3 linked regions of the Arabidopsis thaliana genome follow. The protein of the gene in region 1 interacts with the protein of each later gene in a pairwise test. Each region holds a gene or a part of one and is shown in the gene's direction. Other genes may lie near its edges. The genes, in order: RPT2b, RBCS1A and AT1G61180.

Region 1 (11,178 bases):
GAGGGAGAGAGAGACCTACCTTACATTATACACTTGTAAACACATGAAATATTACAACAATATTGAAGAGACTCCAGAGACACACAAACACTCATCAACAAATCCCAACAAAAAGAGAAATTCTTCTGCTTTAAACTATAAGCTTGTAGCTCTATCAATCGAGGCCAAAGGTTTATCAACAGTGGACAGAATCTGTGGCATTGACATTCCACCCGAAACAACAATCTCTGCAGATGAAGAATGAGTATACAGTGTTCAGTATCTTTCCACAAAATAATTTGAATGCTATATAACAAACGATAAATGTATCTAGTACAGACAATTAGATTCTGAAATCTCACCAATTCCTTCCCGGACCGAGAGGTTTGGCCTGATAACGTCATTACTGTTGACAAGTAGTAGATCTCCAATGTAAAGGTGGTTCGTGGGAACGTATACACAGCAAAGTTCCTCCTCGGTTGGATAGTTCTGCAAGGACGAAGGACATTATTACATTGGATAAACAAATGATGTAATTATAGTAAACCATGCCTCGAGATTGTATCTGCCTTCGTATCCTTTACCAAAATCGTTGAGCAAAGCAATTTCACTCACCTGGAGAACAACAGTTGATGTAATGAAGCCAAATGCGTATTCACCTACACGGGGATGCCTGATGATTGCAACTTCCTTGAAAGCTTGTGTATTTTGATCTGTGATGAGAAATGGATAAGAACAAGATGAGATAGGAGATCAACTTAATGTTGAGAAGCAAAACAAGATTTTTATAAGCAAGCTAGACCAGGCGATATGGCAGTGCTGATTTGCTTGGAGGCGTTGTAGATGTGACGAACAAACGGCATCCGCTTGATAAACCACTCTCCCAAGTTCAGAACCGATGCCCCCAACCACGAAGACATGAACACCCCAACCAAGAAGATGAATGCAATGGAAGTCAAAAAACCGAAACCTACAAAAAACCATAATCAAACTTATTGTGGGAAACGGAACGATATCAAATTGTTCATTCGATAAAGAAGGGCCACTCAAATTCTTACCAAATACGTTGATTCCAAGTTGTGCATATATTGGAGAGAAGAATCCATCGACAAAGTGAATAAACCACCATGTTATATAGAAAGTAATTGCAATAGGAAGTAGGATAACACTACAAAAAGCAATTGAGATTTGAAACTATCAGCACAAATCTTGAATATGTGACAAGTTTCATCAAGCCAAAATTTCAGTAAACTCTTCCTTACCAGCCTGTCATGAACTTCTTTGACGCCCAGCCCCTAATGAACAAGCTTAAAGTCTGCAGAAAAATAGATAAAGCATCAGATCACAATGCTCCTATGTGTTATATATGCTTGAAAACATGAATTAGCATGACATAGAGACTCAAGAATCTGACAGATCCCAATAAAAACACTTAAGATCTAATGCAAATTAATACTCTACTCAGTGAGGAAAGGTCAAATTTCTATAAGCATCTTAAGAATTAAGATCAGTGTTAACACACTACCAAACTTATCTAAGCAAGTGTTCTTGTAATATACTGAATCTAGGGCTAAACCATGTTCCAAGATTTTGCACTAAGGGGTTTCTCAGAATGGGCCAAATCTCTGAAGACTAAATCTTGAAAAGACCTAAGAGCTTAAAACCAATCCAATTCAACTGTTAATTGCGCATGAATCTTGAAATGAGAAAACGAAGAACAAGATTTTTAGATCAGGTGACAAAAACTAGACCTCGTGGCTGGATTGATGCGAAGAAGAAGAAGCAGAGGAAGAAGAAGAAGGCTTCGAAGAAGAACCGTCGTCTTTGTCGCCGGAATCAGCGACGGGAATCAGAAGCTCTCGATCTCTTTCTCGATTGGCCATAACAATCACCGGCTTCTCGTCTCCCATCGCCAAGAAACCAAAGAGACAAGGAAATCTAGTCGGAGAAAAAGAAAGAAGAGAGAAATGCCGGTGAACTGTGAACGGCGGAGAGGAAAAAGGCTGAGACTTTTGCCGGCGACTGTTCTTTTGTAGCTAAGCTTAGCTAACTCCAACTTGAGCTCTCTGTCGTTTTTGGATTTTTCTTTTTATATCTGTCTTCTTTTATTTATCCTTTTCTTAATTATAACATGATTAATTTTTGTTTCAAATTACTGTATACAAATTATTTTCAAAAGATGAAAAGATTAATTTTATTGTTGTGAATTAATATATCAAAAATTTATTTGTTCTACTTGAAATCATATACATTCATCGTAAAAATAAACTTTACAATAAATATTTTATTATCTAGAGTAAAACATTTTTGATTCTTAAGCAATATCAAAACAATTCCATCATATTTAAGCAAAAAATAACTAATTATAGTATATGTTTTAAATGATTTATACTGTAATATTTATTATTGTCATTTTTGTTTGTTACATACGTCTTCGAATTATCACATTAAAAGAGAAAATTATTCTAACGATTATATATTTTCCCAAGACTGCACCCAATGTTAAATCTGATATGGAAAATAATTTTCTTACAACTTTCAGATTTATTTTAAATATAAAAGTTAAGCAAAAACTATAATATATATATATTTGAGATTTCTATATGAGATAAAGTTCTAAAATAAATTAAAGTTTACAAAGGCAGAGAAATGAAGATTCATAATTAGGTCAGGTGCTAAGCACAATCCTCCTCTAAGAAAATTTTGGTCGATACATTTTTAGCTGCAGTATTTTATTTCACCATAAGAATTAGTAACATGTTGGAAACAAAACGTACCTGAGATCAAAAGAAGAGCTAGACAGAGAAATGTTAGACCATTTTTTTCTTCGATCAACAATGTCTCTCTATATATACCACATTTTATACTATTCCCTAATATGTAAAACGATATTGCCATTTGTCATGTGATTATTATTAGGGTGGGATTATCTTTGATTATCTTTTTGTTATAAAGTCAATGCGACAGTAATATGAAAGACACAAGGACGCGGATACAAATTATAATCTATAAGAAAAGAAAAAAAATTATTTTTAAAAGGGCTAAAAGAAAACAAGGTTATTCAAATAATATTGACAAATTACACTTCTCGACAAATTTTTCTGTGTTTTTTGGTTTCTCTATTCGCTCAGATTTTGTGAAACGTCTCTTCTGATTTTTTATTTTTTCCTATCGATCGGCCAAAGGTTTTTGAATAGTCACTTTAAGATTCATTTCCAATCGAGGCCAAAGGTTTATCAAGAGTCGATAGAATCTGCGGCATTGACATTCCCCCGGAAACAACAATCTCTGCAGATGAAGAATGAGTATACAGTGTTCAGTATCTTTCCACAAAATAATTTGAATGCTATATAACAAACGATAAATGTATCTAGTATAGACAATTAGATTCTGAAATCTCACCAATTCCTTCCCGGACAGAGAGGTTTGGCCTGATAACGTCATTACTGTTGACAAGTAGTATATCTCCAATGTAAAGGTGGTTCGTGGGAACGTATACACAGCAAAGTTCCTCCTCGGTTGGGTAGTTCTGCAAGAACGAATAGCATTATTACATTGGGTAAAAAGATTACGAAATTATGGTAAACCATATAACTCGAAATTGTTTGTATCCTCAAGGAGACGTTCTGGAAAGAATAACAAAATCCTTGAGCAAAGTATTTTCACTCACCTGGAGAACAACAGTTGATGTAATGAAGCCAAATGCATATTCACCTACACGGGGATGCCTGATGATTGCAACTTCCTTGAAAGCTTGTGTATTTTGATCTGTGATGAGAAATGGATAAGAACAAGATGAGATAGGAGATCAACTTAATGTTGAGAAGCAAAACAAGATTTTTATAAGCAAGCTAGACCAGGCGATATGGCAGTGCTGATTTGCTTGGAGGCGTTGTAGATGTGACGAACAAATGGCATCCGCTTGATAAACCACTCTCCCAAGTTCAGAACCGATGCCCCCAACCACGAAGACATGAACACCCCAACCAAGAAGATGAATGCAATGGAAGTCAAAAAACCGAAACCTACAAAACAATAATCAAACTCATTGTGGGAAACCGATATCAAGTTGTTAATAGGATAAAGAGGGGCCATTCAAATTCTTACCAAATATGTTGATTCCAAGTAGTGCATATATTGGAGAGAAGAATCCATCGACAAAGTGAATAAACCACCATGTTGTATAGAAAGTAACTGCAATAGGAAGTAGGATAACACTGCAAAAAGCAATGGAGACTTAAAACTAATCTGTGGAAGTTTTCATCAAATGCCAAAATTTCAACTCTTCCTTACCAGCCTGTCATGAACTTCTTTGACGCCCAACCCCTAATGAACAAGCTTAAAGTCTGCAGAAAAGAGCTAAAGCATCAGGCCACAATGCTCTATAAGTTATACATGCTTGAAAACATGAATGAGCATAATACAAAGACTCAAGAATCTGAATGATTCCAACCACAACAACTTGGAATGCAAATTCATACTCTACTCAATCACAACTACCAAACTTATCTAAGCAAGTGTTCTTGTGATATACTGAATCTAGGGCAAAACAAGTTCCAAGATTTTGAACTAAGGGGAGACAGAATCGACCAAATCTATGAATAACTATCATCCAATTCTACTGTTAGTTTCGCATGAATCTTGAAATGAGAAAACGAAGAACACGTTTTTAGATCAGGTGACAAAAACTAGACCTCGTGGCCGGATTGATGCGAAGAAGAAGCAGAGGAAGAAGAAGAAGGCTTCGAAGAAGAACCATCGTCTTTGTCGCCGAAATCAGCGACGGGAATCAGAAGCTCTCGATCTCTTTCTCGATTGGCCATAACAATTGTCGTGTAAAGAGAGATAAAACCCTAAACCTAGAAACTCACCGAGAGTTCGAAGATTGTAAATCACAATCTAGAAGCTAGTTGCGAAACAGAAGAACCACCTCGAAGATCCTGAGATTTGATGATGATGATTGTGATGATGATGAATGACAGATAGAGAAGACGATGAAATTGATTTTTGATTCGATTTCCCCAAATGGCAAAAGAAAAGTTCCTTACCTGTACCGATTGACCGTACCAACTACCAAACCAACGAATTGACTTTTACAAAACTTAAACCGAAATTAAAGATAATTAAACCGAGTTATTGAACTAAACCAGATAATAGCTTAGGTTGAATCAGTTTTAAAAAAATTTGCGATACCTAAGGCCCACTAAGTTTTTCACATCGTAAAAAGGCCTAAAATAATAAGCCCACTTTAATCATCTCCTCCCGTTATCAGATTAAAAGATTTGTTTCTCCGAGAGCAAGAAACCTCAGAGAGACGAAGCACAATGGGTCAAGGACCTTCCGGCGGATTGAATCGGCAAGGAGATCGGAAACCAGATGGTGGAGAGAAGAAGGAGAAGAAGTTCGAACCAGCCGCACCACCTGCTCGTGTAGGGAGGAAGCAACGGAAGCAGAAAGGACCTGAAGCGGCGGCGAGATTGCCGACGGTGACTCCTTCTACTAAATGTAAGCTTCGATTGCTGAAATTGGAGCGAATCAAGGACTATTTGCTTATGGAGGAAGAGTTCGTAGCGAATCAGGAGAGATTGAAACCTCAGGAAGAGAAAGCTGAGGAAGATAGATCTAAAGTTGATGATCTTCGTGGTACACCTATGAGTGTTGGCAATCTTGAAGAGCTTATTGATGAGAATCACGCCATTGTTTCTTCTTCGGTTGGTCCTGAGTACTACGTTGGCATTTTGTCTTTCGTTGATAAGGATCAGCTTGAACCTGGCTGCTCTATTTTGATGCATAACAAGGTATTGAGTTTTACAATGCTCTTCCATGGAAACGTTGAACCAATTCTTCTATGTGATATTTTTTATTATTTTTGTGATAGGTACTCTCTGTTGTTGGGATTCTTCAAGATGAAGTGGATCCAATGGTGTCTGTGATGAAAGTGGAGAAGGCTCCTTTGGAGTCATATGCTGACATTGGAGGTTTAGAAGCTCAGATTCAGGAGATTAAGGAAGCTGTTGAGTTACCTTTAACACATCCCGAGCTGTATGAAGATATTGGAATTAAGCCACCAAAAGGTGTGATCTTGTATGGTGAGCCAGGCACTGGGAAGACATTGCTTGCTAAGGTTCGTCTTTTAGCCTATAGTGTATCCATTATATAATAAGCTTTCTAGTTGTTAATTGCTTAATACAGCACATAATGGTACTTCCCAAGTATGATTGGTTTTATGTCAAGTCATGCATGCAAAATTTTCTGTCTTTTATCAATCTTCACTAGAAAGATGAATTAGTCAGGACAGTGGCTTCTTTGGTTTGATCACCTAGAATTGAGATATTAGATCATAGTACTTGTGTAGATAGAGGAAGATTTTCAGAGTCACGTGGATTGATTTAATGTCTTCGTTTTCTTTTTGTCTATGTCGCAAGCATGGATTGTTGCAGTGTGCCTCTTTTTAATGTGTCTCTTATGCTTGTTAAATTCGGAACTGTTGGAGATGAGCAAGTGTTATTTCTTGTTATTCTTTCAGGCAGTGGCAAATTCTACTTCAGCTACTTTCTTGCGTGTTGTCGGTAGTGAACTGATTCAGAAGTATTTAGGAGATGGTCCCAAGCTTGTGAGGGAACTTTTCAGGGTTGCTGATGACCTTTCTCCTTCTATTGTTTTCATAGACGAGATTGATGCTGTTGGCACCAAGCGGTATGCCTAAATACAACATAAACATGATCCATTGATAAACAATGTTCTTGATTTTGCTCAAGAGATGGTATCTAATATGTGATATAAAATGGTGGTTGAAACAGGTATGACGCAAACTCAGGTGGGGAACGTGAAATCCAAAGAACCATGTTGGAACTACTGAACCAGCTTGATGGGTTTGATTCAAGAGGAGATGTTAAGGTTATTCTCGCGACAAACAGGATCGAGAGTCTTGACCCGGCACTTCTTAGACCAGGCCGGATCGACAGGAAAATCGAATTCCCTCTTCCAGATATCAAAACAAGAAGACGTATCTTCCAGGTTCCACAACTGGTGATCCTTAAGTTTTCTTTCTTTTTTTGTGAATTTTCTAGAAAGATCTGATCGGTTTTTAATTGCATGCCATTATTAGATACACACATCAAAGATGACTTTGGCTGAAGATGTGAACTTAGAAGAGTTTGTAATGACAAAAGACGAGTTCTCAGGAGCTGATATAAAGGCAATATGCACAGAAGCTGGTCTGCTTGCTCTTAGAGAGCGTCGGATGAAAGTAAGGATTCTCTGGCTTCTCACCACTTGATTCATCGAACGCAATCTTTGAATAATTTTACTTTAACCTTTGTTTGGTCTTCTATTGGTTTAGGTGACGCATGTGGACTTCAAGAAGGCGAAGGAGAAGGTTATGTTCAAGAAGAAAGAAGGAGTTCCTGAAGGTCTTTACATGTGAATGATGCACAACGACTGGTTTCAATCTCTTTTTTCGAGTTTGCTCTCTTTTTCTCCGTTTTTCTGTTTTCACTCTCTGCTTAGATTTTTTTTTCTGATCATATAAAATCGTTTGCCCATTATTAATCTGCTTCCAAATTAGCAATTTATTAGTTTGCTTTCTTCAGAACAACCTCATAGATTTATTCATTTGAAATTTCCATCATTTTTACTTTGCGGTTACGAATATATAGTCCAATTTCCAAGTCTAAGCTTATGTGGGTTATTTTACATTATTGTTTGAACTTATTTCTGAAGCTTGGAGATATTTAAAGTCAACATAAGTAGCTGTCGATATTTGTCGACAGGCTGTCTGAATCAAATATAAAATACATACACTTCCAAGAAACTACGAAGAAAGTTTCAAAATTGCAATAGAAAAAGAGGATTGAAGTCGTGTGTTTTTGTACTTTAGTAAAGATAATAATTTCTAGGAAATTGCAAAGAAAGTTATAAAGAACTATAAAGATGAAAACAGAAGAAAGGAAAGTGGTATGACAAAAATAAGGAAATGAATTCAAGTCCTAAAATGAAACACGATGTGTTCATAAGTTTCAGGAGCAAAGACACTCGTGACAACTTCGTAAGCCATCTCTGTGGCTGTCTACGTAGGAAACGGATCAAAACCTTCTTGTATGACGAACTACCAGCTGACGAGAGGTATGAAGAGTCGTTAAAAGCAATTGAAGTATCGAAAATTTCAGTCATTGTGTTCTCGGAAAACTTTGGGGATTCGAGATGGTGTTTAGATGAAGTTGTAGCCATCTTGAAATGCAAAGAAAAGTTTGGTCAGATTGTGATACCTGTCCTTTACCATGTTGATCCTCTCGACATTGAAAATCAGACAGGAAGTTTTGGAGATGCCTTTGCTAAGCGACGGGATAAAGCCGAACAGCTTCAAGAATGGAAAGATAGTTTTACAGAAGCCATTAACCTCCCTGGATGGAGTACTGCTTATTTGAGGTATAACCCCAAACTCATACTTTCTATTAAAGTTACCGTCGTAAGTGAGCTACAAGATGTTTTAATCTCTGGGATTAATATTATGATCACTGCTTTCTCTACTTGTAAATAGTGTGCTTTTGCTTATGCTTATATTCCCAGTGATGAGGAGATGTTGGTGAATGGAATAGCTCGGGAAATCGAGAACAAACTGCTAAGAGCCTCAAGAACGAAGGTCTTTTAGATCAAAAACCATTTTTAAAGTCTTAGCTACGTTTTTTTACTAACAAATTTGTTGGCGATAAATTCTGTTTTTTTCTTCTTATAAGCAGGTTATGATTGAGTGGTCTTTAGTCATCACCAACCTCATGTTGGAGATACCTTCTTCTGTTTTCGACCAGATCTCCTCTGCACATAAACCTTTATATGCATTGGCTGCAATGTCAATGTCATTGTTATCATGTCTACTTTGCATTGTAGATCTCTTACACAAAGGCAGAGTTGACAGAGTTGTGTGGAAGTGGACTTGGCCCATTCCTTGGTTTCACTATCAAACTCAAAGATCAAACAGATTTGGTAGTTTTCCAGAGATGCTAGGCTTGGTTTGTGCCTTGTGCCAAACAACTATCACTGCCGTTAACTATTCATTCATCACACGTAGAGATGATACTCCCATCAAATTCTCGGTTTGGCCAATCATGTTTGCGCTAGGTTTACTTTGCACTTTGTTGATTAAAAGATTTAGATAACTATTTCCATTATTTACTTGTTGCATACTATATATAGATACACTTACTTTGTTATAATTTGTTCTCTCTTCTGTTTTAACAAAAAAAATCAGTTTTACTATTTTAAGTTTTACGTTAAACATATAAAATGATAGGAAAGAACTAAAAAACTCATATTTCAATAATTCTCTTTCATTTTTGTTTTACCTGTTTAAATTTGATGTTTAAAACTAGGCTACAATTGCTTAGAACCAAAGATGTTTTTGCAACACTTTAGATTTGTTTATTTTTTAAAGACCGAATAGCCACAACTTTTAACCTCACTTTGGAATCAAAATAACATATTCTTAGACCACATTAATATACTTATTTGCTTTGTATTTTGACAGACGAAACATGGTTACATATTGGACTGCATCAACATTGAAAAGCAGCTAGCCTTTGATCATCCTTTGCTCAAAAAAAGTCTTAAAACCGCGATTTATTTTTTATTTGGCCGTTTAATACCTGTAAGTTTAAAATTGAAATAAAAATACCTAAATTATTTTGTGTTGCCTTTTAAATCCATGGTCTTCTAAATTCGGGTAAAATTTATTTTGTGTTACAAGTAAAAGCTATTCAAGATTCTCTCTTTTGTTTTGTCCTAATGTATTAAATTATCATATGCCGTTGAAGCCTACAACTAGACCTAACTAATGGACAAGAGATTACAACACTTCTCAAAAATCAAGTTCTCTGCCACTTCGACAAGATGAGGACATAAGTTGACCACTTAAAAATGTGATTATTACAAGAACTACACTTGAAGATCTTATACAAATTCAACGTTTGAAATCTTTAGGGTTTAAGTATCCAGCATCCCAAGACGAGAACTGCCTCGGTGTGAACCATCATCATGTAAGAAACACTTATGTTCATATAGGTAAGACCTTAATTAACACCCTACATGTACTTATAATTTTATTTATTTATTTTGCTCCTTATGATTATCTTTGTTTTGTTTGTGACTGTGAGAATATGTTGCCATTTGGCACTGTTAGTCGGAGAACACATTGGCTTACTAGATGAGTGCGTAAGATTTCTTTTGTTTAATTTTTTCTGTTTGTCGTCTTTCTGTTCAAGTTTAGTTGATTAATATGCAACAGAAAATATGAAAAATGATAATAAAATTTAACATTACACTAAAAAAAGCAAGAAGTTATAATTTGGAATTGGTCATAATCTTTGTAGGCTCATAACCAACTTTTGGTAATACTTGTGGGGAGTTAAATAGTCTAAATCATCATTTCCCATATGAAGCACATAATACTCGAACTCAAGTCCAGTTGCATTAATTAAAACAACACTCCTGTAACGATTGAGCCAACTGCATTAGGGTAATCTGTATCTAGTTATATAACTCATGTCTTTCTATTTAAATACATAAGAAACAAGAGATTACAAAATCCCAGTCCGGCTTTAGTGTTTAATAGGTCGAAACCCAAATAGAAAGAGCACAGCTCAGTTAACAATTAGAAACACACATTGAGAAAAGATCTTAGAGTTGAACCTAGACTATAGGGTAGTCTAGCCGATGGAATAGTGAGAGTCATCTGATGAAGATTATGAAGTTGAGAACCAAAGCTGATGCATCGATGAAGCCAAACGAGGGTAATGGTCTCTGTAGGTGGTGATTCTGTTGCGGATAGTACAGTCAATCAGGCGAAGCAGAGTATCCGCAGATCTGAAAGTATTACGATGGAGCGGATTGTTTCGTTCACCCTAGAGGAAGTGCCGGAGAGCATTGCCAAGCTAGAAGACAAACTCTTCTCCTATCTTTTGGACCTTGAAGGGCTTGCATCTGGGAGACAGAGGCAGACCATGAGCGGAGAGGTTGGATTTGGGGTTCTCAAAGCAATTGATGACCAAACTATCCAAGACAGATTGCACTGGTAGAAAAGGTGATCAAGGCTTTCAGGAGAGGTGTTACAGAGCATGCAAACTGGATCTGTGTGAAGGCCCCAGCCAAGTATACGGTCTCGAGTAGGACACTGGTTCAGAACTAGTAACCAAGTAAGGAAACTAT
Region 2 (9,972 bases), on another chromosome or scaffold:
TTACAATTAAAACAGACTCACCATACAAATAATTTTACATATATTATTGATTTTTTTGGCTTATAATACTTTTAGTTTCTGAAATCAAAATTTATGGAAACAAAAGTATCTTCTTATTTATCAAAAAGTAAGTCACAACAGCCCAAAATATCTGTAGGCTAGAAACTGCATTAATTATTTTAGCATATCTGATAGTATGAGAATTGAGTGTATAGGGGGGGAAGATAGATGGACAAAACAGGATTCAAGTCCGAAAGAGTTGGGCTATGTTTTCTGCTGAATACACATTTCGACCCAATTAGTTAAAATAATTCATCCTTTTCGTTTTCTCTAGCTAATTAAGTTCCTACACATATCCTTCGAGAACAAAAATCTAACACACATGCATGTTAGCTGCTGAGTCATTTGGTAACACGGTTCACATACAAAAGGGCTTTTTGAGACAAAATATTTATAAATGAATGACTAATCATCATATGGAGATTTCATCATTAAGCAACTTAGATTCTTTGTAATCTAACCCCAGATATTTCTGAAATAGAAGATTTGTTAAGTTTTTTTTTATATAAATAAAATACAAAATTTATTGGGATAAACGTGTTTACATCAATTGCATCGTTTGTTTAAGTACATGAGTAAAATCAAGAATTTAGAATGGAAAGAAGAAATGTTTGTTATGTCGATCCGAACCAAGATTTGTTAAGTTAAGACCTCTTTATCATTCATCATACATATTTATGAAGAACACCGAACATGCAAAAGAAAACAAAACAAAACATAAAACTCAAAAAGAGAAAAAAGAGAGATTCGTTAATCTCTATTTGTACACCTAAAACTCAACACCAAAACTTGTAATTAAGACCAGCCACAAAAAAAGAACCATTCACTCACTGCACACCAGTCCAAGCTCAATCTTACACGTGTCCTCATCCTCAGACGTGCCACACCTCTCTAACTTTCTTTTCTTCATCGGTACCACCACGTGATTTCCACGTGCTAAAGGCTCCAACCCCAAAGTCAGCTCAAGCCCGATCCAAGTCTTTGGTTCCTCCGTCGTCGTCTCCTCAGAAGACACCGGTGACTCGTGACTCAGTGACGACTCATGACTCAAAGACCTCACGTTTCTCTCTTCCTTGCATGCACCACGGCTCCGTCTCTTAACGTTCTCGTCCCTGCTTGACACGTGTCTTATGTCGCAAAGCTTGTTGTTAAAAGGAGGTGCTTGACCAGTAACCGCTGCGTCGCATGCGATCGGAGTCACGGGTGAGCCTCTCATTACTGCCTCAACGGCCGCTTGACAAAGATGCCAGTTTCCTGACCACAATAACCCCACGGATCCGTATATCGGATTCACAATCCTCCCGCATGCTTCGTACAACAATGATCTAAATATCGCTGCAAAAACAAACAAAATTACCAAATTATTAGATGCATGTTAGAAAAATAAACAGGATCCTACGTTTCCTAAAAAGATGTATGAGAGATTCCGTCCAGAACTTCGCAATTAACCATAACAAACAAAAAACATAACATGCATGGGAAGTTTGAATACCAGGACGGAGGTGGTCAGGACCGGTGTTGAGGAGGTTCATGAGCCCCGCACGGCCATAAAACTTGGCGAGGAAGACGGTGGCGTTGGCTTGAGATTCAGCGGATTTGATCCATTGAAGACAAGGTCTTATGCTACAGTTTTCACTGCAGCCTTTTCGTAGAACTCGACATCCGTTACAACTCATACGCATTTTAGATGGGAAACAAAAAACAAAATGTGTTTTGGGTTTGAGGGAAAGTACAGAATGGTCCAGAGATCTTAGAAGAAGGAAGAGGTATTTAAGAGGGAGAAGCTGCTTGGGTTTGGTCGGAGAGATCATAACAATTAACAAGGAACGAAGTTGTCGTTTTCTTTGTGTGTAATTTTTTTCAAAAAATAAATAAATTTGTGACGTGCATGTTATATTTTTCTCTAAATGGATATCGTAATTTTCAAAGTATAAATAAGATGTAAAGAGCCCAAAAAAGAAGAGTTTTGTAATTGTTTTTATATTTTGTATGAATTATTTTAGTAAATTACGAGAATATTACCTTTATTTAGGTAAGTAATTTTTTCAAACTGTTATTATGTGTTTATAAAAATAAACAAAGCTTCTCATACTATTTGTATAGTTATAAAATTTTAAAATCTTTAATTTTCATGGTTTATACATTTTGTTTGTTTGTTTGTAGTTACTAATAATATATATTTTTTTTTTTGGGGAAAATAGTTACTAATAAATATGAAATATATATGGAAGCCCGTTGAGCTTTGTCTTTGGCTCTCATTCGTAGCGCGTGATCATCATCGACGAAAATGTCCAAAACCAGTCAAGTATTTTATTTTTTTGGTTAGTTGTTTATATCTGACCGCCGTTTGTTTTTGTCTAGACCGCAGTTTAATGTTCGGCAATTAATAATGGACTGCCAAAATATTTGGAGATAGTAAATTTTGAAAACGAAATTACTAGAGGGTAAAATGGTAAATAGAGAGATGAGAGGTTCGAATTTCAACGTTCGCATGCAAGCGCAAAAGTGTGATCGCGTGGCGGAGACATTGTGGTAACAGAGTTTGGTCGAATCGCCGCGTTTTCTGAGCGGTTACACATTATGTAGCTCCATACATAATTCTGATAATTAATATTAATATCCAAATACCTACTTAATAAATTATCTTAATGGAATCACTTTGACTTCTATAGGCTCTAGTATATATCAACATTAATATCGAAAGACCTACTAATAAATTATCTGCATGGATCACTTTGACTAATATAGGCTCTACAATTTTTACTTTTAGGTGAATAGATGCCAACGTTTATTGGTTAGATTTGGTAGTTTCTTCCATTGAAACACCCATCATTGAATGGTGATGTTTGAATTATTTCTATTACTTCTTTAATAAAATAAAGAAAAAAACGCACACACAATCTATTAATTATTATTAAGGTTTAGAAACAGTTAAAAATTAAAATTATAGAAAATATATAAATATCTATCAAAAATGTTAAAAATGTCAAATCGCAAACAAAGTTTAGATAAAATATTTATTTAAGTATATCAAACATTATATAAACATTTATAATTATTTATATAAAGATAAAACTTAGTTAAAAACTAGAAAAATACAGTAAAACAAAATATATATAATTTTAACGGATAAAACGATTTATTTTTTCTTCTGCCGGCTATCACACGATTAATACGATTGTCTCCACTTTAACTAATAATATAATCATGCGAACAATCATAACTATAGCTAGTAGACTCTATAGAGTCAATTTTTCTGAAAGACCAGTTACAGACGAATGTGAAAGCTATATATGCTATATGATATATACTAGTATGAAATAAATTTGTTGTCGTTTCAGGTAATTTAGAAGACCTGTATAAAGTTGTACAATAATTTTCTATATCAAATAACTTAACATATTGTAAGATAAACAATAAGTCAATAACCTAATTCCTATATGTATATATATTATGTTTTTGAAAAATTCAAATGGTATATATACATGTTTAGATAGACGTATGGATAAATACAGTTTCAACCAAATTATCATATTGCTATAGAAGTGATTGACAAACAGATATGATAATTCATTAAAATAAAAATGCATAGGTAAGAGGTAGAAAAATAGATGCATACAAAATATAAGCATACGAATAAAATTTTTTGTCGTCTTTCTTATTGTCGTCTTATAATAAACAAATAAATACAAATTCTCTTAATTGACAAATACGAAAATGGATATGTGCTAGCTGGAATAATACAATGATATAATCCTTTATAGAGATTTATCTGATACAGAATCGAACGTTAACTCTTCCTTTTGGTTTAACAATTTCTATTTCCCCCGAATTCTATCAAAAGTGAAGCTAGAAAAATCCAAATCTAGAACTAGAAACAAGCCATGAATGTGTAAAAAATAAAAGTTTGTGAACTCTTGTTGATGATACACTGAACTGAAAAAAGAAAGACAAATGGAGGAGAGATAGGTGAAGATGCCATGCAAAAATGTCCAAAAATATTTTTATTTTTAAAAATGTGGAAAGAGCCAAAAACTTTAAAAAGAAATATAGGGGTTTGCATGCATATGGCCGCGCGTGTGTATCGCGTCATCCTACGTTTTTAGTCGTCGAGTTTAAATTGTTTGGACAAAACCTCTTGTATCTTCCAATCACTTCCATAATTTTAGGAGAAAAGAAAAACAAATATAGAAAATATAATGCAAACCCAGGGACTCGCGTTTTCCATGGTTTTCGGAATTTTGTGGGCTCTTTACCTTACGAGGAGCTTGAGCTTCAATGTTTTGATTAAAATAATAGAAGGCTTCTTGTAATATAGGATTATTGGTCAACAAATTCTTATTGTCCAAGATATTAACTGTTTGACTGAGTCTCAAAGTGGAATTAGAAACATCTTATTATGATATGTGGGTACTTTCTAGTTTCGACAAACATGTTTATGGCTTTCATCTATCAAGATTCTTCACTCTATAATTAGAATTCAAAAGTAGAGTTCACTGTCAGAATTCAAATTTATTATGTGTTTTTTTTCCGTGGTCGAGATTGTGTATTATTCTTTAGTTATTACAAGACTTTTAGCTAAAATTTGAAAGAATTTACTTTAAGAAAATCTTAACATCTGAGATAATTTCAGCAATAGATTATATTTTTCATTACTCTAGCAGTATTTTTGCAGATCAATCGCAACATATATGGTTGTTAGAAAAAATGCACTATATATATATATATTATTTTTTCAATTAAAAGTGCATGATATATAATATATATATATATATATATATGTGTGTGTGTATATGGTCAAAGAAATTCTTATACAAATATACACGAACACATATATTTGACAAAATCAAAGTATTACACTAAACAATGAGTTGGTGCATGGCCAAAACAAATATGTAGATTAAAAATTCCAGCCTCCAAAAAAAAATCCAAGTGTTGTAAAGCATTATATATATATAGTAGATCCCAAATTTTTGTACAATTCCACACTGATCGAATTTTTAAAGTTGAATATCTGACGTAGGATTTTTTTAATGTCTTACCTGACCATTTACTAATAACATTCATACGTTTTCATTTGAAATATCCTCTATAATTATATTGAATTTGGCACATAATAAGAAACCTAATTGGTGATTTATTTTACTAGTAAATTTCTGGTGATGGGCTTTCTACTAGAAAGCTCTCGGAAAATCTTGGACCAAATCCATATTCCATGACTTCGATTGTTAACCCTATTAGTTTTCACAAACATACTATCAATATCATTGCAACGGAAAAGGTACAAGTAAAACATTCAATCCGATAGGGAAGTGATGTAGGAGGTTGGGAAGACAGGCCCAGAAAGAGATTTATCTGACTTGTTTTGTGTATAGTTTTCAATGTTCATAAAGGAAGATGGAGACTTGAGAAGTTTTTTTTGGACTTTGTTTAGCTTTGTTGGGCGTTTTTTTTTTTTGATCAATAACTTTGTTGGGCTTATGATTTGTAATATTTTCGTGGACTCTTTAGTTTATTTAGACGTGCTAACTTTGTTGGGCTTATGACTTGTTGTAACATATTGTAACAGATGACTTGATGTGCGACTAATCTTTACACATTAAACATAGTTCTGTTTTTTGAAAGTTCTTATTTTCATTTTTATTTGAATGTTATATATTTTTCTATATTTATAATTCTAGTAAAAGGCAAATTTTGCTTTTAAATGAAAAAAATATATATTCCACAGTTTCACCTAATCTTATGCATTTAGCAGTACAAATTCAAAAATTTCCCATTTTTATTCATGAATCATACCATTATATATTAACTAAATCCAAGGTAAAAAAAAGGTATGAAAGCTCTATAGTAAGTAAAATATAAATTCCCCATAAGGAAAGGGCCAAGTCCACCAGGCAAGTAAAATGAGCAAGCACCACTCCACCATCACACAATTTCACTCATAGATAACGATAAGATTCATGGAATTATCTTCCACGTGGCATTATTCCAGCGGTTCAAGCCGATAAGGGTCTCAACACCTCTCCTTAGGCCTTTGTGGCCGTTACCAAGTAAAATTAACCTCACACATATCCACACTCAAAATCCAACGGTGTAGATCCTAGTCCACTTGAATCTCATGTATCCTAGACCCTCCGATCACTCCAAAGCTTGTTCTCATTGTTGTTATCATTATATATAGATGACCAAAGCACTAGACCAAACCTCAGTCACACAAAGAGTAAAGAAGAACAATGGCTTCCTCTATGCTCTCTTCCGCTACTATGGTTGCCTCTCCGGCTCAGGCCACTATGGTCGCTCCTTTCAACGGACTTAAGTCCTCCGCTGCCTTCCCAGCCACCCGCAAGGCTAACAACGACATTACTTCCATCACAAGCAACGGCGGAAGAGTTAACTGCATGCAGGTCATTTATATTTCTTCTTTCACTTTTTTATTATTCCATATGATTTTTTTCGGTTCTTTCTTCGAATCTACATAAACTAATATCATTGGAAAAATCGAAAAAATAGGTGTGGCCTCCGATTGGAAAGAAGAAGTTTGAGACTCTCTCTTACCTTCCTGACCTTACCGATTCCGAATTGGCTAAGGAAGTTGACTACCTTATCCGCAACAAGTGGATTCCTTGTGTTGAATTCGAGTTGGAGGTAATTAAACAAAATTTAAACATCTATATAAACTAGCTAGATCTTAGGAAAATTTGGTTTAATATATTAGGATCTTGATTTATATAAACATGTTCAAAATGTTATCTGAGTGGTTTGTAACATGTGGTTTGTATAGCACGGATTTGTGTACCGTGAGCACGGTAACTCACCCGGATACTATGATGGACGGTACTGGACAATGTGGAAGCTTCCCTTGTTCGGTTGCACCGACTCCGCTCAAGTGTTGAAGGAAGTGGAAGAGTGCAAGAAGGAGTACCCCAATGCCTTCATTAGGATCATCGGATTCGACAACACCCGTCAAGTCCAGTGCATCAGTTTCATTGCCTACAAGCCACCAAGCTTCACCGGTTAATTTCCCTTTGCTTTTGTGTAAACCTCAAAACTTTATCCCCCATCTTTGATTTTATCCCTTGTTTTTCTGCTTTTTTCTTCTTTCTTGGGTTTTAATTTCCGGACTTAACGTTTGTTTTCCGGTTTGCGAGACATATTCTATCGGATTCTCAACTGTCTGATGAAATAAATATGTAATGTTCTATAAGTCTTTCAATTTGATATGCATATCAACAAAAAGAAAATAGGACAATGCGGCTACAAATATGAAATTTACAAGTTTAAGAACCATGAGTCGCTAAAGAAATCATTAAGAAAATTAGTTTCACATTCAATTCTTGTCACATGATTAACGAGCTTGAGAGGTTTAGAGTAACAATATCTTGAAGCAAAAGATGACCCACTTGAAATCTAGTGATGGATACATAAGTGGACGTGCCTTGTTTAGGATAGGATTCTGGATAAGAGTCTCGAATATTCATTTTTACCAAGTATATTCAAGGATCTTGTGGATCATATATTTCCTCAATCAAAGGGACTTGACCCAAATTCACATAAAGATATTTTGGAGTCGTTTGTTTAGGTACTTTCGAAATAGGATAAGCTATGTGTGGGTCGTAAAAACTCAAAATTTTCTTTCATTTTTTTTTTTAATTTTTTCCTAATTAGTTACTGATATAGTGTAAAGTTTTGAAATATTTTAAACGATTTTTACCCCTTTTTAATAATTTTTGTACCATTTAATCTCAAGAATTATACATATTGTTTACCAAAAGGTTTTGGTCACCATCGAAAACATCGAAATGCTCAAATACCACAGAAAGATTGAAAGATAGGAGATACCAAAGATTTGTCTTTTTTTTCTTTTTTTCACAATTTGTTTTTGTTTTCATGTGTTGTTTTTTTGTTAAATAAACAAATTAGGTGGGAGTGATAAAGCAAAAAAACAAAGTGGGTGGGTCAAAAGGCCCATTAATACCAAAGCAAATAAGTTATCATACCAAATAGCCCACCCAAGTTATCTTCCTACTCCATCCAATTTCTCCAACAATGAGTATTAGCCACATGTCTATCTTTTTCTTGTCCTAACGTATTTTTTAAATCTTTTTTTCAGTCAATTCTTAATGCAATAACCAGGTTGTGAATATAAAACTAAAAATATATAAATGTAATAAAAGTAAACAACCGAATTAATGGGGGGAAACACTAACCATTGTCTTTTTCTTTCCTGAAACTAGACTTGTGTCTTGTCCACCTAAATTCACTTAAATCTCCATTAACATACACATATAACTTTTTTCACACAAAAATAAAATATATATATTTAACTTTTTATCAATATATTCAAAATTTTATATTGAATTGTATTGAACTTTTTTTTTTATGTATAATTGGTTTAATAAAAACTTATATGGTAATAGTAAAAATATATCATTGATTGAAGTAAACCAAAAATGTTACTTAAATCTACTAATTGATCCATATTAAATTAGAAGTTAATTAAATAAACAAACAAAATCCAAATAATTATAATAAACTAAACCGGAATTCAAAGTTTAAACAAATATTGAAGTAAAAAAGATGAAAACTTTATAAAGATGGAAGGATGAGCAAAAAGTGTTGTATATAATTGTCGACACTGAGCAAAGAAAGAGTGAAAGACAACTTTTTTCCCTTCCACTTTCGTTTTTTTTTATCCAGTGGAAATCTCGCAACCATTCCCATTATATATATGCAGAGAGTTTGTTGAAGAAGGTGATGAAAGATCAATTTTTGGCAATTAGTGGTGAAGATTTGAATCAGAGATGGGTTTTTCTTCTTTCATTTCTCAGCCTTTGTCTTCATCTCTCTCGGTATCTTCTTCTTCTTTAATTTCACTATACATATATGTACAGTTGTTGGATTAGATTCTGTGTTGAGTTAAACTATAGTTATGGATAACCTTAAAGTCTTTTTATCTTTTGACTAGAATTGAAGAATTTAATGGGTTTTTGAGTTGACTTTATTCTTTCTGAGTCACTGTTACAGAATCTCTGTTCTTGATTGTTGTGAGTTTTTGTATGAAAGTTTCTGAATTTCTATGAAGTAAAAGAAGAATCTTTCTTTCTTTGTTGGTGAATTCAGGTGATGAAACGCAACGTTTCTGCTAAAAGATCGGAACTTTGTCTTGATTCTTCAAAGATTAGATTAGATCATCGTTGGAGCTTCATTGGAGGATCAAGAATCTCTGTTCAGTCCAATTCTTACACCGTAGTTCACAAGAAATTCTCCGGTGTACGAGCTTCATGTACTGTGTCTCATAACCATTTAAAGATTAAACTTTGTCACTCATTTTGTGACTTTGATCTAAGATTATATGTGTGATTAGAATCTCTTATATGTTCATGTTGTAGGGTTAACTACTACTCAGATTGCAAGCAGTGTATTTGCGGTTGGAACTACCGCGGTTTTACCCTTCTATACTCTAATGGTTGTAGCACCAAAAGCTGAAATTGTAAGTTTAATTTTGTTGCAAGTTTTACAACTTGATGACCTAATGAAGTTGATCAAAATTGAGTATGTTTCTTTGTGCAGACCAAGAAGTGTATGGAGAGTAGCGTACCGTATATCATCTTAGGCGTATTATATGTGTATTTGTTATACATTTCTTGGACACCCGAGACGCTCAAATACATGTTTTCTAGTAAATACATGTTGCCAGAGGTTTTGCTTTCCCTTAACCATCCACAATATTTGTATCATTGCAGTTTCTAAAGTTAGTTTTTTCATCTGCAGTTGTCTGGAATAGCTAAAATGTTCTCAAGTGAAATGACTCTTGCTTCTGCTTGGATTCATCTTCTTGTTGTAGATCTTTTCGCTGCACGGTATATTACACTTCTCTTCTTCTCAATGGGTTCTGAAATTATCCTACATGTT
Region 3 (12,251 bases), on another chromosome or scaffold:
TGTGAGCTCAAAGTTTTTTGGTTCACCAGATGTCTTGATCGACCTGGTCTGCCTGCGGGTCAATAATTCATCGAGTTTTATACATTTAATAATTTGTTACAAAATATGAAAACAAGGATAGTTTTCAGTTAGAAAAACAATTTATTATCTTAGAAAATCATGACTATGCTAAATCTAATATATTTAAATAAAAAACTTTACATCAAAATTCTAACAAATTATCAAATATTATGGATTTGAGGGAGTATAAATTATCATTATAATTCAACAAAATTAAAACTGAATTTTGCGAAAACATAATTTATATGAAACTCGAGTATAAAAATGATGACTCGAAATGGATCAAATAGAATAAAGCAATCGTAATGTCGAATAGTGGAAAAGAGATTTATATCTTATTTTATTTTGTCTGAAAAAGATCTATCTTCACCTATTTTTATTGAACTTTAAATATTTTAAGCAAAAATAAAATTGATTCAATTTGATATAAAATGAGCAAAGACCTTTTGATCATGATCCTTTACAAGATTTTCATTTCATGCTTTATCATTACAGAAAAAAAAAATCTAACAAACTAATCTGAAAGCTAAAAGATTGAAAATAATATAGTTTCTTAATATATTTTATCAAAATCATTAATAGATATTGTGAAATAGATAATAGAAAATTGAGAATATCTAAGGAACTTACAAATTGATATTACTTCTTCCATTAGTCATTGTGGAGAATGAAGAAATAAAAAAAATGGGAAATGAAGCTCTTAAAGTGAGTCTAACCAAATGATGTACTTTTATTAACTCCCAAAATGGGATATCATTGATTTATGTTCTATAAATAAAAAATTAACCTGATTCATTTTTCTTATATAATAATTGATTAAGACATACGCTGGCAAAATTTTTTTTTTTTATGTCCGCTCGCAAATCAAAAAAATATGGAAATACAATAAATTTTAATTATAATAAATTAGCTTTTATTTTCTTTTCATAATTTCTAATAAATATCTCATATACCCAATTTACAGTATCGTATTTTGTATTAAATAAGTTTGAGTTAAAATTGAATCATTATGAAAATCTAATTAGAATATATATATATATATATATATATATATATATATATGTGTGTGTGTGTGTATGTATAGTACTGGTACATAATATTAATGTTTTGTAACAATTTCGGTTTCTAGTTTCTAAAATATGGTAAATTATCAAAATCGATTAATTATGATATTTTCACAATTATATTTTTCTAATATTGTAAATTTGTTCCCAAATTTTTTTTTTTTTAAAGTCCCAAAGATAGAAAGTTATTATTATAATTCCAAATTTAAAATAAATTTTAAATTTAATATGGAGATTGACTCTTGTAGTCTTTTGACTTGTTCATTAATATGTTCCCGAAATAGTTTTATATGGTATACAAAATTAAATAATTGTATAAAAGGTAAATCTAAATTTAAGTTACGTCAGATTTGATCTTTTATGTGATAGAGATGTGTTCCAAATAGTTCTTTTAATTGATTTGAACACTTTCTTTGGTACCAAAACAAGAAACATCATAGGGTTTGCGTACTCATTGGTATTAATGAAACTGACCCACACACATGTTTTTGGATCATCACTAATTTAACTGTCTCATAAGCTTTGTCACACACACACACACAGAGACTTATATAGTGATGCATTCATTGATATCATTCGGCATCATACCTGTTCTTTCATTCCATAAAGATAAAAAAAGGTAAAAGAGAAATGTGATTTTGTATTTGAGATTGATTTGTATGTAAGTATTTATGAGTGAGAGAAAATAGTGGATTCTATGCGTGTGGAGATAGTAGAAGAGGTCTCTACTCTACTATGTGTGCTTGCATTTCCTAGGAACACAAAATGGCCCACTGGCTCTGTCCCTTTGTTTCATAGAGACTAGAGAGTGTCCTCTTCTTTTTCACGTTATTGAGAATGATATAGTTTCATAGAGACTGAAGATTCCCTTTTGTTTCTCAACTCTTCGAGTTTTGATACTAAGCAAGCTTAACTGAATAAGGTGATTTGGATTTGATAATATCGGCTACGGTCACAAACTCCGAATAAATCTTGATCGACTTGCTTGAGAGAGGATTGATTCTTGGAATGGCAAATCTCACACAAATATATGAACTTGAAAATGGGTTTTGTTTGGCCAAAAAAAAAGGAAAAAAAGAAAATGGGTTTTGTTGGATGTGAGATAATTATCCCATTGTCTTGAATCTTGATTATCAATTGGAAATGGAAATGATTTTGTTTTTGGTTAGGAATTAATAGTCATTTGGGGGTTAGAAATTAATTGGCATGTGACATATACACAAAGAACCTACCATGTGAACATAACTAGAATCATTCAAACATGGGAGGACCCATACAATGTAAATCTTCAAGTCCTATCTTTTAATTTAAGAGGTTTATATCAACTTCATTTTTGTGTGACTTTGTGCTAACATCAAATTCTGTTTTGGGGAACATAACACAGATAAGGGTTTAGATATGTTCTTGTCTTCTCAATAAAACTGTTTGGATATCAATTGCTTTGATTGGAAACTGATTTTGTGGCGTTTATATCGATTTGCAAATAGTTGTGTACTCAAAAGGAGTCTCGATGTTGATGCTAGGAGACGATATAGCTTCATTCATCGCCTATCCCACTCCTGCACCCGGAGATTCCAACAGTCGAACTTCAAGTCCAAACTCCATTCAAGAATGTTAAAAAGTTTGATTTTTGCATTATATATGCTATTTTTTTGTGCTTTTTGCGTTATGCTATGTTTTGTGCTTCTGCGGTTAACTTTTTCTCTACCGTGTCTTGCAAACTGATTGCATCTTCATTGCCAAGATTTTTGTTATGAGAATTTTGTGTAAATATAATTAGAAGAAACCAAACTGCAAAAGCCTTGGCTCAAGTATATATGTATTTTACGATTTTTGCCAGATTTTCTTTTTGTTGAATTTCATTTTTCTTATCACAAAATAATTGATCGTTGAGAAGAATGTGTCTGTCAGTGAACTGTAGTGGTCATGAGTTTTCATGAATATGCTATTGTCGACCTGCCTAAGCCTAATCATCTTTAAGCCCGACCCAATAAGCAATAAATGGTAAAGTATATTGTACAATGTGGTTGTGATTGGTAACATACGTAACATGTGTTCAATCATAATATTACAGAAGACACCATGATGTGTCCCCGAGAAAGAAAAAAACTAGATCTAGTCGTAAGGTTCGTCTTATGTTTGTTCTTTTTGGTCAAATGATTCGTCTTATGTTATGATACGATTTTATTTTAGATCTCTGACATAACCTTTATTTCTGACCTTCATTATTATCATTGGTTTTTAAAGAAACATTCTCTCTTTTTTTTTCTTAAATCAGGTCCTCTAAAAACTCCAAATTGTACAGAACTAAACTATATATCATCTGCTTTTGTAGAGATTTATTTGTCAAAATTATTACCTGACAGCTTAAGGACATCCTGACAAAAAAAATGTTAAGTTCAATGATATATTTAAAGGAAATGAACTCTTTGTGGGCTTGTTTAGATCTCTAGCCATTTCCGTGCATGTGAGTCATGTGACTTTTTAGATCTTTCATTTAGACCTTTTTCAATGACATCTACAATATTTATCTTATAGATTTTGGATCCGATCAAATTTTGAAGGATGTAAATGGATCTCAGATAAAACTCACATTAGTTAAAAAAAATTTTTTTTTGTCAATTTCTACCTCTCAAGTCTCAACAACAAAATCCATTACATGATACATCATTTTTTTTTTTTGGTCGTAAGTACGTAACAGTGTAACACACCTCATGACTAAAAAGTTATCATAACTTTGAATGCGTAATATTTCTACGCATTCAAACGTTTTTAATATTCAAAAGTTTTTTTTAATTTTCTTGACTAAAAAGTTATCATAACTTTATTAACGTCATTATATCAAGAAAATTGAAAATTTGCATGGGGTTTAATCACAGACATAATTGCTGCTGAAATCATTATAAACTAAAGCTACTTTGGGGTAGTTGTTGTATAATTATTCTTTTTACTCATATTATCAACTGTCCCAAAATATTAACAATAAATACTCTCACTTCACAATCATCCTCTGCTGTCACCACACAACACAACCAAGGAGTACTACTCTCTAATCTCCGATCAAACGACGTCGTCTCTTCTCTCTCTCTCTAATGGGTAATTGCTGCGTCAGCTCCGGTACCACCGATCGGGAAAACGAGAACGTTTCCGACAAGAACACAACCATTGTCGAAGAAGAGACAGTAGTCAAAGAAGTCTTGTCAGAGACAACCTTGTTCACTCCTTCCTCTAGTTTCCGCACTTCGACGTTCAAAGACCCGGTGAAGACCAAGATCCGAGAAGATGAGGAGAAAAAACCCGGTTTCTTGAAAATGGCTTCAGACCCGGTTTTGATCCGACCCGGTTCGGTTGATCCTGAAGAAGGCTCTGAGGTTTCGGAGATTTGTAGCTTGAGTTTGAGCGAGAGTGTGTCTTCAACGGTTGTGATGAATGGTTACGATGAGGAACATGTGATGATGAAACAGAGGAAATCTCAGAGATCTCCGGCGAAAACTCGGACCCAGGTCACCGGTAATAATTATCCGACCCGGAGAACTGATCAATCTCCACGTAAGAGAAACAATGGTACATGTAATGGAGCGAGATACGGGTCGGGTGTGAGAGACCCGGGTGAGAGATCCGGAAGAAGGTCAAGATCGCCGGCGACGAATAGATCGGTGATGGATTCGAATCAGAGTAGTCGGGTGGGTGGGGCAAAGACTAGGAAGAATAATCAGTCTCCGGGTCGGGTTAGACTAGATCCGGCTAAAAACGGGTTGGATCAGCAACAGCATCAGAATTACGGTTATACCACAGAGGAATTGTTAGAGAACCCGCTTGTTTCGTTAGAGTGTTTCATATTTCTTTGAAAAAGAAGAATATTTCGATGGGAATAATGTCTTCTCATTTGACGTTGGATTCATAATTCGTAAAGCTACTTACTTAATTACGTTACCTCTGTAATTCATTTCTGTGTTGTATTTGCTGATTTAAAGTTATAATTCGGTTGAATGATGTAATGTTCGAGTAAACGAAAATTCAAGATTAGAAATGAATACATATGTATGTTTTAAACACCACGTAGAATAATATATATCCAAAATAAATACCACTCATTTATAAGTTCTTTAATTTTGGAAATTAGTAATTAATAATGTTCTTTAAAATCACAAAAAAATTACTTTCACGAAGACTCGAATCTGAAACATTGCAAGTGCTATTACCACAAGGTGAAGCTAGTATTACATTAGAATCGGGGTCAGACGAGAAATTATGTAATCACCGAATCAACAATCATTTGAATAATCATTCAAACGGTTACATGAAAATTATATTAAATTGAAAGTTCTCATCCTATTTGGGATCGTCACTAGCAGTGATAGGGGAACACATTATTTTTTTTGTCGTAAGAAAGTGGAACTCATAATTACACTAGTTTTGAATATTTTTCGTGTTTTGCAAAGAGAAAGATAATCCAAGACATAAATAATTAATTCAAAAGTTTGCTTTTCTAGATATGAACGTTGCTTTTGTTTATTTATTTATTTTACTTTAATTATATCTATTGAAAATTTCTCCAAAACAGGGCAAGTTTTTTTTTGGGGGGCAAACTCAATTGATTTATTCATAGTCAAAGCAAAGCAAAGATGACAAGTTATACAAACTTCATAATTTAACTATCGCTTTGATTGGTCCAAAAAAAAAAAAAAAAAACTATCGCTTGACTTCTCCTTTCCCAGATCTAGAGATTGTACTTAGCTCTTCTTCTCTCTTCTTCTTCTCATTCTCTTCGCTTGTAACCACAGAACTTTGCAGTGGTCTTGTTCCACTAATATTAGCCTCGTTTTTGCTTACTAAAAGTTTATCTCTATTCTCATCACCATGGGGAGTTGTTTTTCTCTTCAAGTTAGTGATCAAACACTGAATCGTATCTTTAATTGCTTAATTGGTAAAAGTTATATTCGAACCCTCGAGAAGAATCTCAGAGCTCTGCAGAGGGAAATGGAAGATCTCAGAGCAATTCAACATGAGGTACAAAACAAGGTAGCTAGAGACGAGGCACGCCATCAACGAAGGCTTGAAGCTGTCCAGGTATGGCTTGACCGTGTCAATAGCGTTGATATAGAGTGCAAAGATCTGCTAAGTGTTACTCCTGTTGAGCTTCAAAAGTTGTGTCTATGCGGTTTGTGTTCAAAATATGTATGTTCAAGCTACAAATATGGGAAAAAGGTATTCTTGTTACTGGAAGAGGTTAAGAAACTAAACTCGGAGGGAAATTTTGACGAGGTTTCTCAGCCGCCTCCAAGGTCTGAAGTTGAAGAGAGGCCTACTCAGCCTACGATTGGTCAGGAAGACATGCTCGAAAAGGCATGGAACCGCCTTATGGAAGATGGAGTCGGAATCATGGGTCTGCACGGTATGGGTGGTGTAGGCAAAACAACCCTTTTCAAGAAAATCCACAACAAGTTCGCTGAAATAGGTGGTACGTTTGACATTGTGATCTGGATCGTGGTGTCTAAAGGCGTAATGATTTCAAAGCTTCAAGAAGATATTGCAGAGAAACTACACCTTTGTGACGACCTGTGGAAGAACAAGAATGAAAGTGATAAGGCCACTGATATACACAGAGTTTTAAAGGGCAAGAGATTTGTTTTGATGCTAGATGATATATGGGAGAAAGTGGATTTAGAGGCCATTGGTATTCCCTATCCGAGTGAAGTAAATAAATGCAAAGTAGCATTCACGACACGTTCTCGGGAAGTTTGTGGGGAGATGGGGGATCATAAGCCGATGCAAGTCAACTGTTTGGAACCAGAGGATGCATGGGAGCTGTTCAAAAACAAGGTCGGAGACAACACATTAAGTAGTGATCCTGTTATTGTGGAGTTGGCAAGAGAGGTCGCTCAAAAATGTCGTGGTCTGCCATTGGCGCTCAACGTCATTGGTGAGACAATGTCATCTAAAACTATGGTACAAGAATGGGAGCATGCAATCCATGTTTTTAATACATCCGCTGCAGAGTTTTCTGACATGCAAAACAAAATTCTTCCGATTCTCAAGTACAGCTACGATAGCTTGGGGGATGAACATATCAAGTCGTGTTTCCTATATTGTGCTCTGTTTCCTGAAGATGGTGAGATATATAACGAAAAGTTGATAGACTACTGGATATGCGAAGGATTCATCGGAGAAGACCAAGTTATAAAAAGAGCGAGGAATAAGGGTTATGCGATGCTCGGTACCCTTACCCGTGCAAATTTGCTAACAAAGGTTGGTACATATTATTGTGTGATGCATGACGTGGTTCGTGAAATGGCTTTATGGATTGCTTCCGATTTTGGGAAACAGAAAGAGAATTTTGTTGTGCAAGCAGGAGTCGGGTTACATGAAATACCAAAAGTCAAGGATTGGGGAGCTGTAAGAAAGATGTCATTAATGGATAATGATATTGAAGAGATAACATGCGAGTCCAAGTGTTCTGAACTTACAACTTTGTTCCTTCAAAGTAATAAATTGAAGAATCTACCAGGTGCATTCATTCGGTATATGCAAAAGCTAGTTGTTTTGGATCTTTCATATAATCGTGACTTCAATAAACTTCCAGAGCAGATATCGGGGCTGGTCTCGTTGCAGTTTCTTGACTTGTCGAATACAAGTATAGAGCACATGCCTATTGGTCTCAAAGAGTTGAAAAAGCTAACTTTCCTGGATTTGACTTATACTGATCGACTTTGTAGTATCAGTGGGATATCAAGGTTGTTGAGTTTAAGATTGTTGAGACTGCTAGGGTCTAAAGTTCATGGAGATGCTAGCGTATTGAAGGAGCTGCAGCAATTGCAGAATCTACAAGAGCTAGCCATAACTGTATCCGCGGAGTTAATTAGTTTGGATCAAAGGTTGGCGAAGTTAATCTCTAATCTTTGTATTGAAGGGTTTCTTCAAAAGCCATTCGATTTATCATTCTTGGCGAGTATGGAGAATCTTAGTTCCCTACGGGTGGAAAATAGTTATTTCTCGGAGATAAAGTGCAGAGAAAGCGAGACAGAATCGTCTTATTTACGCATCAATCCGAAAATTCCATGCTTTACCAACCTCTCACGACTGGAGATAATGAAGTGCCATAGCATGAAGGATCTGACTTGGATATTGTTTGCTCCAAATCTTGTCGTGCTACTCATTGAAGATTCAAGAGAAGTGGGAGAAATAATAAACAAAGAGAAAGCAACCAATCTTACAAGTATTACACCATTTCTGAAACTAGAATGGTTGATTTTGTATAATTTGCCGAAGCTGGAGAGTATCTACTGGAGTCCTCTCCCCTTTCCGGTTTTGTTGACCATGGATGTTTCAAACTGTCCAAAGCTGAGAAAGCTTCCATTAAATGCTACAAGTGTTTCAAAAGTTGAAGAATTTGAAATACATATGTATCCTCCTCCAGAACAGGAAAATGAGCTTGAATGGGAGGACGATGATACCAAAAATCGATTCTTGCCTTCAATCAAACCGGTAATCATTTCTTTTAATCTCTTATGCTTGAGTTATTTGTATTTCTTGCTAATGTTTCTTTCAAGGTTAGCATGAGATATTGTCCTTCTGCAAAATGGATCACACAATAGAATATACTGTGCCTCTCAATTTCAATGCATTGTTACTAACATTGTTTCATTTTCTTCTTCTTTAGTACAAGTACTTCGTCTACCCAGGAATGAGTTTCCTCACTGTCTAAAATCAGAATTCACGCTTCTTCTTCTTCTATTGCTTTATCTATCTTCTTGTAGTGCTGCATTTGGATTGTATAATTGATTTGCATTCTGATACTTCTGGAATGTGTTGTTGTGTTGTTCACTTGGATTATGTTTTTCATTTTCCTTTTGTATTCCCTAAAACGTTTTGCATCCTGTTCAAACTACATTTTTACACAATCAAAAGTTTATGCGTTTAGGTAAAATCCATTTGTTGGTTTCTCTTTCACCTTGCAGTGTCTTTCTTCATCTGTTGGTTTCTTTTTCATGTTCCAGTTGTTAATGAAAAGATTTGATTTTGGTAAATCATGAAGATCTTGTACTCAGATTCTCTAGTGTCAATCCCTCAAACCTATTCTGAATATCTAAAATTGTGATATACTCCTAAGCTATGTGTTAAGATTTCAATATCGATACCTCCGATTCCTTAACCAAACCGGTACACACTAACACACCATACAAGAGAGAGACTAGCACATCACTAGCTCAGCTCTCAATACACCATACGAGAGAGACTAGCACATCACTAGCTCTGCTCTTAAGTCTCTCATACCATTCAACAACAAACAACATAAACCTCTCTAAACATTCAGAGCCATTATTTATACTCGAACTGAGTTTGTTCAAGATATTTTTAGATCCTAAAAATATCTTCTTCTTCAAGCAAGTTTCTTCTCACGTGCCTCCTCACTTGCACGTGTCTTCTTTTGCTTTCTCTCATTCACATTCTTCTTGATACATCAATCGTATCACTATGTCTAGTGTGGTGGCTTAATTTCTTAATTTTGTTGAGTGTTATGGTAAACTCTTAATCTTTTTTTTTGCATCTTCTCACTTTTGTCAAGAAGCATATCTCTCTTCACGTTCTCGTATAGCTTCCATCTGTTTATGATCTTTATAACTAGTTTTAAGACTTAGTTCGTTTTATGCGCTATCCCTTAAGCATCAAATGAAGGATTTGAATATTGCCTCCCCTCTCTTGTCTCGGAGAAGTTATCTACGAATCTCTTTGGAGCCAGCACGAAACCATCTAAAAACCAAATTTTGTGCTCTTTTTAAACATTCAAAACGATGAAAAGGTTACTAATAGATGTTGACTCTTTACTTTAAATCGTAGATTGCATGATCAAAGATTCACCACAGCCTTCTGTAAAAGTCGCTGAAAACTGAAACGTTTATTTTCTTGTACATTGTCTTAACAAAACCTTGAACATACCTGAAATTTCATAGTTATAACTTTTGTGCAAACCTCTAAACCCATTTACTAGTTGGGCCTTAAATACATTTGTGGCCCAAAAGCCCTTTTACACTTAAAACCAAAGTCTTCTTCTTCTCCCTCAATCTTTGACGCTTCGTCTTCTGACGTCTTCTCTTGTCAATCTTCTTCACTTTCCCATCTAGTCTCAATCTCTGGTTCCTCAATTCGAATTTAGATAATAATCATATTTTGATTCCAACGCAAATGCCAATCTATTCTTTTGACGGTAGAACATTCTGTTTTCAGATGACCAAATCCTTGACATCCATACCACTGTATGTTCAACTTCTCATCTTCTCTAGCTTCATTCCACACAATAAAGCTATTGGATATGCAAAAAGATTCATGAGGGTTTCCAATTAAACAATAACTCAAAATGAAGGTTTCGTTTTCTTCACTAGTCCCTTGAGTCATCAAATTCTTCATTGCCCTGGAGAAGTCTGGGAATCTCTCTATGAGCCGGCATCAATTTTTTCATTAATATAAATCTTGGTGTTCATTGTCTAAATCATTCACATCTTTGTCTTCAACAAAGTCTGTAAAATCTTCTTCCATCTTCTTTCTCTGATCCAGAATCACTAAAGACACTACTTCTGAAGCTTAGTGAAGGAGCTGCAGACCTTGGTCCTTTGGAGCATCATCTACTAGTTCTAACCATGACGATACCTACATAGTTAGGTTTGGATCAAACATTTCGGCGGTCAAAGGTTGGTGAACTGCATCACTTCTCTGCATATTCATGCTTTTCAAGAAAAGCTATTCAATACATCATCACTGGCTAGTATGGAGAATCTTCATCATCTCTATGTCGAAAGTAGTCATGTCTAGGAGATGTATATATTGCAGGAAAGCTAAATGGACTAGTCTAATTTAAACAATCCGACAATTCCATGCTTTACCAGTCGTCTCTCAGACGTGCTTATACCTGAGTGCATAAATGATCTGGCTTGGCTTCTGTTTGCCTTCAGATTAGATGTTCAGATTATGTGTCATCAATTTTTCAAAATTTAAAGAAAGATGTGTATTCTACTCTTCTAATGATCAAATCTCACAAAAAAAAAATCTTTTCTTTTCCTTTCAAACTATAAAATCAGTTCAGCTTAAAATAAGTATAGACATAGGATAGACATATATGGAGGAGAAACCTTAAAATAAGTTCAGCTTCTTTAGATATTAATAAGTAATTAGGTAGATGGGGTGTTAGGGATATTCCCAGCAGAGAGGTTATACCTCTCAATTTCATTCAGTTCCACAATTGTCAAGTTTTTTTTTTGCTTCTTCTTCTTATTCTTTAGTGATGTGGGTTAGTCATAAGTTGTTCACTGGCTAAAAGCAGAGTCCATGGCTTCTTTTTATGTTGTTCTCTCTTTCTTCTTGTAATTTGTGATATCTTCATTTGGATTTCTTTTTCACTACTTTTCTTTTGCATTTTTTTCTTTCTCCAGTGTGTTGTTCACTTGGATTATGTTTTTCATCATTTCCGTATCGTATTACTTCAAAGTTAAAACGGATTGAATTAATCCTTTTCAAACTACATATTTTTACACAATCAACAGTGTATGCTTTTTGGTCTTCGTAATTTAGAGGTCAGTTCTATTTTCAATTTATTTAGTTACAAGACTTGATATCAGAGCGACAAAGGACTTACATAGTTCTACCACTTTGCTGTGGGATGGTAAAAGATACTAGTCTAATAGTCTACACGAAAATGAAAGATTTGTCATTTTGAAAAGTCATTAGATGCCATATTATTGCCAGACACTAATTTGTATGGACTCTAGCTACCAAAAAAAGAAGAGAAAAATCAAAGTCCTTCATATGGAAAATGGGTGGTCTGAAAATCAGTGACAGCAATGTCTTTTATTATCTTCTATCTTTCTTTGATAATCTCAACCCACCCGTATTGGAGCAAGATGTTATCTAAAACACTTCTTCACCTTCAGCTTTAGCTTTAGCTTCGTTGTTGCTTACTGAAACTTTTCTCTCTTAACTTCACCATGGGAAATTTTGTGTGTATAGAAATTTCTGGTGATCAAATGCTGGATCGTATCATTAGATGCTTATGTGGTAAAGGTTATATTCGAAACCTCGAGAAGAATCTCAGAGCTCTGCAGAGGGAAATGGAAGATCTAAGAGCAACTCAACATG

Evidence for each region.
Region 2: the proteins of RPT2b (region 1) and RBCS1A interact in a two-hybrid assay, tested with the Arabidopsis thaliana proteins (one study listed by BioGRID).
Region 3: the proteins of RPT2b (region 1) and AT1G61180 interact in a two-hybrid assay, tested with the Arabidopsis thaliana proteins (one study listed by BioGRID).

What each region holds. Positions count from the first base shown.
Region 1 is NC_003071.7:8,687,433-8,698,610, forward strand, and holds RPT2b (AAA-type ATPase family protein), read left to right. Parts: upstream 1-5,134; 5' UTR 5,135-5,303; coding exon 5,304-5,777; intron 5,778-5,857; coding exon 5,858-6,103; intron 6,104-6,505; coding exon 6,506-6,675; intron 6,676-6,779; coding exon 6,780-6,996; intron 6,997-7,087; coding exon 7,088-7,228; intron 7,229-7,321; coding exon 7,322-7,405; 3' UTR 7,406-7,679; downstream 7,680-11,178. Other genes in the region: COV1 (CONTINUOUS VASCULAR RING protein (DUF502)), read right to left, coding at 136-227, 342-468, 595-692, 782-949, 1,038-1,147, 1,242-1,294, 1,731-1,889; LCV1 (uncharacterized protein), read right to left, coding at 3,182-3,267, 3,382-3,508, 3,650-3,747, 3,837-4,004, 4,087-4,196, 4,273-4,325, 4,674-4,802; AT2G20142 (Toll-Interleukin-Resistance (TIR) domain family protein), read left to right, coding at 7,955-8,406, 8,548-8,620, 8,718-9,134; AT2G20150 (uncharacterized protein), read left to right, coding at 10,178-10,181, 10,780-11,048. UniProt on the Arabidopsis thaliana protein: The 26S protease is involved in the ATP-dependent degradation of ubiquitinated proteins. The regulatory (or ATPase) complex confers ATP dependency and substrate specificity to the 26S complex. Acts redundantly with RPT2A in the regulation of gametogenesis.
Region 2 is NC_003070.9:25,045,571-25,055,542, reverse strand, and holds RBCS1A (ribulose bisphosphate carboxylase small chain 1A), read left to right. Parts: upstream 1-5,875; 5' UTR 5,876-6,293; coding exon 6,294-6,464; intron 6,465-6,570; coding exon 6,571-6,705; intron 6,706-6,841; coding exon 6,842-7,078; 3' UTR 7,079-7,385; downstream 7,386-9,972. Other genes in the region: LBD40 (LOB domain-containing protein 40), read right to left, coding at 884-1,395, 1,553-1,742; ABA4 (abscisic acid (aba)-deficient 4), read left to right, coding at 8,862-8,909, 9,181-9,343, 9,450-9,550, 9,631-9,759, 9,832-9,920. UniProt on the Arabidopsis thaliana protein: RuBisCO catalyzes two reactions: the carboxylation of D-ribulose 1,5-bisphosphate, the primary event in carbon dioxide fixation, as well as the oxidative fragmentation of the pentose substrate.
Region 3 is NC_003070.9:22,545,502-22,557,752, forward strand, and holds AT1G61180 (LRR and NB-ARC domains-containing disease resistance protein), read left to right. Parts: upstream 1-5,769; 5' UTR 5,770-5,984; coding exon 5,985-8,684; 3' UTR 8,685-8,784; coding exon of another isoform or gene 8,785-8,829; 3' UTR 8,830-9,183; downstream 9,184-12,251. Other genes in the region: AT1G61160 (retrotransposon gag), read right to left, coding at 1-52, 691-719; AT1G61165 (uncharacterized protein), read left to right, coding at 2,635-2,742; AT1G61170 (uncharacterized protein), read left to right, coding at 4,217-4,972; AT1G61190 (LRR and NB-ARC domains-containing disease resistance protein), read left to right, coding at 12,101-12,251. UniProt on the Arabidopsis thaliana protein: Involved in disease resistance via the salicylic acid (SA) signaling pathway. Involved in shoot architecture development via the cytokinin signaling pathway.